Linked DNA regions of Cricetulus griseus. The protein of the gene in region 1 purifies or fractionates together with the protein of each later gene. This does not show direct contact. Links are inferred from orthologs where the notes say so. Each region holds a gene or a part of one and is shown on either strand. Other genes may lie near its edges. The genes, in order: Phb and Vdac2.

The links.
Region 2: the proteins of Phb (region 1) and Vdac2 purify together in Homo sapiens (affinity purification with mass spectrometry; 4 studies listed by BioGRID, with this or other methods). This does not show direct contact. The link is inferred for Cricetulus griseus from reciprocal best matches to the Homo sapiens genes PHB1 and VDAC2.

Annotation. Positions count from the first base shown.
Region 1 is NC_048600.1:108,826,550-108,831,062, reverse strand, and holds the start of Phb (prohibitin), read right to left. Parts: upstream 3,052-4,513; 5' UTR 2,961-3,051; exon of another isoform or gene 2,863-2,960; intron 2,556-2,862; exon of another isoform or gene 2,482-2,555; intron 1,935-2,481; 5' UTR 1,908-1,934; coding exon 1,820-1,907; intron 1-1,819.
Region 2 is NW_023276807.1:199,137,767-199,141,729, reverse strand, and holds the end of Vdac2 (voltage-dependent anion-selective channel protein 2), read left to right. Parts: intron 1-1,397; coding exon 1,398-1,455; intron 1,456-2,788; coding exon 2,789-2,880; 3' UTR 2,881-3,333; downstream 3,334-3,963. UniProt on the Homo sapiens protein: Non-selective voltage-gated ion channel that mediates the transport of anions and cations through the mitochondrion outer membrane and plasma membrane.

The DNA.
Region 1 (4,513 bases):
AGAGTTCTATAACTCAAGAGATCTTCACTAGACGGCATGCACATATTAGCTCCAATTTAACCTGATGTTCCCAGAAGCAGGGTCCCCACCATGGGAATCCTAAATGTAGATGTTCCCATTGTTTTTTCTTTGAGACAGGGTCTCATGACAGATTAGCCAGGAAATAAAGATTCTGTCTCACCCTTCCCCCACCAGTTTTGGGAGTGTAAGGAGGGTATCACTCCATGGGTTTTTTTCCAAGCTGGGTTCTCACTATGTAGCTCTGGCTGTCCTGGAACTCACTATGTAGACCAACCTAACCTCAAACTCTGCCTCTGCCTCAGAGTGCTGGTAAGGTAAACACCACTATGGCCAGTTTACCCAGCATCTTTCTAATAGCTGTTTCTCTAACTTTTGGAGGGGGTCCAACAACATGTCCTGTGGACTCAGAGAGAAATTTTAAAATGCTGACTAGTCTAGCTGTATAGATGAAGCTACACAAACTATGACATCAAGTTATAACTCATGAGCCAAGCAGATCCCTCCCTTTCGTCTTTGACTTTTTCAGACAAGGTCTCACTATGTAGCCCAGGTGGGCCTGGAACTCAAGATCCTTATACCTCAGCCTCACGAGTACTGGGGTCACAGGAGTCTGCCACCAGAACCTGGCTAAAGTAGCTACTTTGCCTCTTTTCATATTTGAATTGAGAATTGGCCTAAAAACTTACAGTCTGATAATAATACTCATTCAAAAGTCATATAGGCAGAAGCAAGAAGTTCAGGAGTTCAAGGACAAACGTGGCTACAGGAGACATAGTCTTAAAAAACAAATCAGCAGGATGCAGCTCTGAGTTGCTTAAGCCACTATACTGCATTTGAGCTGGGTACAGAGGAGCACACTTTTAATCCCAGCACTCAGGAGGCAGGGGCAGGTGGATCTCTGTGAGTTCTAGACCACCTTAATCTACATAGAGTTCCAGGCCAGTCAAGAGCTACATGGTAAGATTCTGTCTCAAAAAAAAAAAAAAGCAACAAACCATACAGAAAGTATATAAAATTTGTTGGAATTCTGAAAGAGTATCAAAGTTGGAGGGAATCTTAAGAGAACTAGTTCAGTCCCATTGTTTGACCAATGTAAAAGCAGAGGACTAGGAGGAGGGACTTGCCTATAAGGCAATATAATACAAAGAAAACCCAGTAATGCATCTCAAAAAATTACTTTCTCTGCAACTAGCTGAGCAAAACCTTCTTTCTCAGGACAAGGTCTCTCAAGCTGAGAGAATTTGCCAAATTATTTCACCCCACATGCAGCAGAAGATAACCAATGAGATCCTGCTGGGCTGCTCTGCAGAGGCATCTGGGTAACAGAGCATCACTTCAAACTGGCTAAAGTTCTAGAAACATCCAGCCAGCAACTGGACAGGAAGGCTCCTCTTGAGCAAAGGATCTAAGTCATCAGCTCTCAACCTGAGCCCTGGGGGGCGGGGTTGACTCTTTCACAGGGTTCACCCAAGACTATCAGAAAATACAGATTTTTACATATTCTGTTACACTATTAAGTAGTAGATTCATAATAGCCAAATTGCAGTTATGAAGTAGTAACAAATTTAATTTTATGGTTGGGGGTCATCACAACATGAGGAAAGCGTATTAAAGGGTCACAGCACTAGGAAGGTTGAGAACCACTGCCTACATGAAGGCCGGGCCTCTGATTACACACAACCATAGTTTGTGGGGTAACAGCAGGTGAGCCCACTTCACCACACACACCTTCAGACAGAGCTAGCCGTTAGGAATTTCAATTGGCTGTGCAGATCAACAGAAAGCACCACCCGCTCACCATTATATAAGGCAGAGTTCACCACGCCTCCTGCAACTGCTAAAGCCAGGCCGAACTTTCCGATGGACTCAAACACTTTGGCAGCCATAATTCCTTCTGTTGCACCCACTCACACCTAAACAAGGGGTAAAAATAAAACAACTTGACACGAAATCCTCGGAGAAAGCCCTCTCTGGGGCACAGCATTCACTTTTCACGATAAATCTTCATGGATCTACTCCTGTGAGCTCTAACTTAACTCACCGAACACCCCGTGACACTCAACATCTTGCAAATGTAGTATCTCGTTTGCTTTTGTAGGCGTCTGGGACACTTGGCTCATCGTAGGAACGATGTGTCGTACCCACAGAGAACTTAGTACCACAGTAAACCACACTCCCATTTCCTAGCCAAATAGGCCACAAGAGACTGTGTATGGCTGGCTCTGTGCATTTGGTTTTGGAAAAGCCAGTAATGTACTACAAGGGTTATGCCAACAACGAAAAGGACAATTCCTGTTAACATTTAAGTTAGGCAGCCTCCAACGGTTTTATTTAACCTTCAGTTTCTTTATGAAAAGCATTACTGGTGAGGTGCATGGAGAGGGTACACTATTCGTATGGAACCAGGGTTGGAATGAGGAGACTGAATTCTAGAAGGCATTGTAAAACTCCTCCCCATACCTGTTAATCGGAAAGCGGGAGCTGGCAGGGGTGCAGTGAGGCAGGGCAGCGAAGGCCTGGAGGTGGGGCTGCGGCGGCGGGTGGGTGGGTGGGAGCACGTAGCTGACAGACTAGAAACCACTCAGCCTTGAACTTTTTCATGCCCCGCCCCTGCGTCGCCCTCGGTGCACTCTTCAAATCCTCCCTCCCTTTCCCCAGAACTCAACTGAGAGTCTATCCCGTTTTCTCCGCGCACATTTACCCTCCACCCCTGACACTAAGACACCCAGTCCTTTCTATTTTCTACTGGCTTCTGGATTTTTCCTTATCCCGCCCCCTCCCCTTGCACAACCCATGGATCGTTCTGGACTCAGCCTTTCCCCCCTTCTCCGTTAGGCGTACCCTCACGTGCATTCCATGACCCCCACCGCACCCAGGAGAGCAAAGGAGGATTACAGGGACACACAAACAGCGGCCTGCACCACCCCTTCCACGCTCACCCGCTTTCACGCTGACCTCCACATGAATTCCCCAGACTCGCATACTGCGCGTGCGCCAGGCAGCTCCTCCCTTTCCCCCGCCCTCTTCAAGATCCGTCCCTTCAATTGGTGGAGCGGAGCGCAACGCATCCTGGGAAGCGTGGTTTGCAGTCTTCCGCGGGCCCTGTTGCTTTCCTGAGGTCAACTACAACTCCCAAAAGGTTATGCAGCAGCGGGCCTGAGCAGGAAACCTGCTTCCGTTTGGTGGCAACTGATGATGGGATGTTGCCGCAAAGCCTTTCGGGGGTTGCAGTTCCTTGGTAATAAGTGCACGTGCGTAGTTCGTAACGAGGTGATTGCTGTTAGAAGAGAGGTACGGGCTGGATCTGAGAGGAGCTGGGCTTCCACCTGGTGGCGGAAGTAACTGGGTGGGCGTTTTGGAAAAAGGTGAGGTGGGATAACTGATGGGCTGGGAAACTCCTAGGGAAGCTAAGGACGGCCTCAGGGGCGTGAGACTTGGATCTCCAGAACCGCTTCGGGACCTTAGAAACGGCTTAGAAAGAAGAGACTCATTCAGGTCTTGCACTACTCCAGCAAAAGGACTTGACTTAGGGTCTAACTCTCCTGTCTCCACCTTTTAAAAGTTGTACTTGAGAAATTGAAAGAATGGGACGGAGAACATGTACATGTATACCTATTAAGCTCACCTGTTGTCAAGACGCATTTGTTGTTACTTTTGTTGTCCCTCTCTCTTCCCAGCACTTTCTTCTCCCTGTGCTCCCCTCTTCTCTCTCCTACTGCTCTCTAAATACAAGGACACCCTCTTACTTGAGTAAATGTAATCCACGTCTGTACTCCGATTTTGTCAATTGAGCAAATAGCGACTTTTATAGAATTCCTCTCCACGCTTCGATAAAATCTGAAATGAAGTGCTGTGTTTATTTCCCATGGACATGTTGCTGTGTAAATACACAACTCTTAAGAGAATATGTGTATATACACACAAACATAAAAGACATGAAACAAGCTGGGCATGGTGGCATGTGCCTTTAATCCCAGCACTCAGGAGGCAGAGGCAGGCAGAAATGGAGGAGGATTATTTGGCTGGAAGGAAGAGACTGCATTACACCTATTCAATAAACACTCATTGAGTACTTACTGAAAACAAACGTCTTTCTAGCCCCATTTTTACATCTCCAATTGGAAATAGCAAAATGGAGTTTAAAAAAATACATTTATGGAGTTGGAGAGATGGCTCAGGGGTTAAGAGCACTGGCTGCTTTTCCAAAGCTCTTGGGTTCAATTCCCAGCACCTACATGGCAGCCCACAGCTGTCTATAACTCCAGTTTGGGGGGTCTAACGCCTTCTTTGGCCTCTGGAGGTACCAGGCACGTAAGTAGTACACAGACATGCATGCAAGCAAAACACCTATGTCCATAAAATAAAAATGCAGACATTGATTTATTGATTTGAGTGTGCATATGTGTGTGGCCACAGTGTACCTGTGGAGGTCAGAAGATAACCTACAGGAGTTGGTTCTCTCCTTCCACTGTGTGAGTTTTGGGGATCAAAC
Region 2 (3,963 bases), on another chromosome or scaffold:
ACTGTCAGTACCATATGTACTGGGGGTGACAGGAAGTTAAACAGTCCAGGAGAGTTACTTCTGTTACATAGAGTACTCTTGATCCTCAAGGACAGTGTTTTGATACCTTAAATAGGTATGTTTATTCTCATCTTTGCGTTGTGATAGAACATTTATAATCAGACATAGTGTCAAGTGAAAAATACTCAGATTGCTTCTTCCTTTGACAAGTCAGTGACACAGTAATGACTCCCTGCTGTGTCTAACCACTAGTAAAGTACTCCGTGCAGCACACTGTTCTCTTCAGATGATGCTTGTGGCACCATAACAGATTGGATGTCAGTGGTGGAAACACCTTTCAGCTACTAGTCTCCATGGGAAGGTGACTTGGGACCTAGGTGTCAGTGAGTGACTGCTGCCAGTCATTGTGGAAACATGACAGCATGTCCCATCCAAGTGGAGCAGTAGTGCCCAGAAGTGTCAGCTTTATCTTGGTTGTATTTTGATGCTTACACATTATAAGAATAGAGTCAATGTTTCCAGATCTGTTGTGTTCACCCCAAGATGTTAGCTTTATACTGTAGCCCTTAGGGTACTGCAGAGCCAGTTGCCTGTCTAGGCTCTGGAGTTGAGGGTAAGTTGCAGGCATATCTGTTCTGTAGCTTGCAGGCTGCAAGTTTTCCTGTATAGCTATAAATCATGCAACATTTGCATGGGTAACAACATTAGGATACAATGTAAAAGGCTTGGAAATCTGCTAATCTAGGTGACCTAGCGAAGATGTTAGCTGGGGTAGTAGAGACTGGCACTAGAAGGAGCTGCTCCTTAACATACTTGCTCCCAGGCATTCCTGTCAGCCTTTGAAGGTCTGTTATGTAAAGTGTCAGGGCACTTAAGATTGATAAACCATGCAACAATGGAGCTTTATCAGGCCCTGACTAGTTACAACCAAAATCCGGCAGCTTAAAGGTAAGAGTGAGGAAGGAGTTAAGCTGTGGAGAATTGAGGATGAACCCTGGAAGTAGTGATATATGGTCTAAGCCATGAGCTTATAAGTTCCTCACATTTCAAAGATGGCTGTTCCTCTAGTGGGTCTGCTGGTTGTCATCAGCCACATATTAGCCTTTGTGCTTAGATTAGACTCAACAAAGGTGACTTTGTTGAATAATAGGGTTTTTTTTTTTTTTTTTTTTTTTTTTTTGTACGTATCCAAAGGGGTGTACAAAGGGCACTACATACAATTTGATTTTGAGTTAACATCTAATTTTTAAGTGACACTTGATGTTTGCTTAATAACGATATTAAGTTTTAGTATCCCATTGAGTTAAATAAAGCCCTGGGCTCTATAGCTATAGTTCCATGATGGGTAACACCCAAGAGTTTTGTCTCCCTTCAGAAATGTTTTTCTCTTTTTCTAGGCAAAGGTCAACAACTCTAGTTTAATTGGAGTGGGCTATACTCAGACTCTGAGGCCTGGTAAGTATTGTTGATAAAGTGGAATTGTTTTTATATCCTCCCATCCCCTTTTAAAAGAGATTCATTTAAGTGTATGGGTGTTTTGTCTGCTTGTATATCTGTATCTGCACACTGGAAGAGGGCATTGGATTTCATGGGACTATAGCCACCATGTGGGTGGTAGGAATTATACCCAGGACCTCTAGAAGAGCACCCAGTGCTCTTAACTGCAGAGCCATCTCTCCAGGCCCCCCTCCCTTTTTTTTTTTTCCGAGACAGGCTTTTTCTGTAGCTTTGGAGCCTGTCTGGAAATGGCTCTGCAGACCAGGCTGGCCTTGAACTCACAGAGATCTGCCTGCCTCTGCCTCCTGAGTGCTGGGATTAAAGGCATGCACCACCACCGCCCAGCTCCAGCTCCATTTTTTCAGTATTTTCAGATTGATAATTTCTTTAGTTTATTATTTTGTAAACCTTTCGAGACTGTAGTGGTGTTGTTGGTCCTCATTTCCTGGGAAGTTATAGCTTATCAGGAGCCCCTCCTCACCCTGTAGTGAGGAGGCTGCTCTGAATAAGCACAGCCGCCCTCACTCTAAAGAGCCCCACTCCTTACCGTCTAACACACTGTAGCTCCCCACTGCTGGCTAAATGCTGTCTTGGACCAGAGTTCAGGTAAGAGATTCCAGAGCAGCTTCTGGGTCATATGCAGATTGTCACCCTGTAGGTCTGAGGTGGAGAGCTCTGTGTTCCTAATGGGTTCTGGAGTGCTTAGGGCAGTTGACAAACAAGGTCCTCAAGCAATGGTAGCCCAACTTTCCTAAAATTTAAAAGTGAAAGTGAATACTAGAGAGCCTGTTACTGCTAACAAACTGAACACCCTTCCTTTTTTGGTTTTTGAGACAGGGTTTCTCTGTGGCTTTGGAGCCTGTCCTGGAACTCACTCTGTAGACCAGGCTGCCTCAAACTCACAGAGATCCACCTGCCTCTGCCTCCCGAGTGCTGGGATTAAGGGTGTGCACCACCAACGCCTGGTTCTGAACACCCTTCCTAATTAGCATTATTTACCTACCTAATGTGTACTTCTCACTGGTCCCCTGAGACCTAACAGGCTTCAGTTACAATCTGGCCTTTTCAGTGGTGTCTAGTCTGGGTAGTATAGTGACCATGATTATGGCTTAGAATGCTTTGAATTTATTACTAACCTTTTTATGCCTAAAATGAACATTCCCATAATTCCTAGTATTACAGTTCATCCAGTGCCTTTTGCTGGCTGGGATTACTATGGTAGTGGGCTGAGGAAGTGATGGGCAGGTTGAGTGGTTGTCAGGCTCATCATGATGGTTTGCTTTGTTTACAGGTGTGAAGCTTACACTGTCTGCTCTGGTAGATGGGAAGAGTTTTAATGCTGGAGGCCACAAACTTGGGCTTGCCTTGGAACTGGAGGCTTAATCCAGTTGAAAGAAACCTCTGGGAACGGATATCAGAAGATTTGGCCTTAATATATTTCCATGTGACCAGCAGGCTCCCCCCTTCCCCCCAGAAGGTGATTAAATCAAAGGGTGATTAAACAAGAGCTGTATTTTAAATATTTAGACAGTTTCCTGTTGGCTGGTTTCTAGTTATCAGTGCTGCTATGGTGCAGCCACCTATACATTATTTAAATGTATTTAACTGTTAAATGTGCTACCCACCAATGATGAAATAGACGTTTATGAAAACCGTGCCATGGTGTGCATGTTTGTTTTATGTTCTTTTAACATTGACTATTGTACTGAATGAGATGGATCAGTGGATGTTTTAAGATGAGGTAAAAAAAATTTTTTTTTGTTATATTCAGCCGTCATTAGAATTACTTTGGTAATCCCAAACATGACAAATTATGAATAAAACAAGTGTACATAACTAATGGCTCCACGTATGTGCAGTTACAGATTGGCCAGCCAGGTTCTAACCTTGGTAAATACTTTCTTCTGGTGAGCATTTGCTCTTTACCTAAATCTGTGCAACCAAATTCCTGTGTCCTTAGCGTAATTCCACAAGGTCTTTGAGACTACAATAAAATCAGAGGATACATACTTTAACACTCTTCAGTTTCTAAGTTTGTGCAAAATTACAGTGAATCACTGTTAATCCCATGGATGATGCAGCAGTGGTGCTGAATGGTTAAACAAGCATGCCACACCCTTCTGAGCCACAGCTACAGAAAGTGGAGTAACAAGAGGGGCAGAGAGAGGAGTAAGTGGGCACCAGCAGGAAGTCATTGCTCTTTCCAGACACACTGGAAAGCTGAGCTGAGGTCTTCGACATGGGGCAACCCCCGTAGCCATCACCTGGGCGGTCTGCATTCTTCAGTGATTGTGGTTGGAAAAGTAGGACAGCACAAGCTTTCCACGGCGAGGAGGTATATGTAAGGTGAAAGGGAGAATCCCAGATGAGAGAAGGGGAGGCAAGAGTGTCACACTTGTGGAGTAAGAGACTGCGGTTCAGTTGGAAGCTTTGGAGGACAGCTAGGAGAATGGAGTACTTGGGACT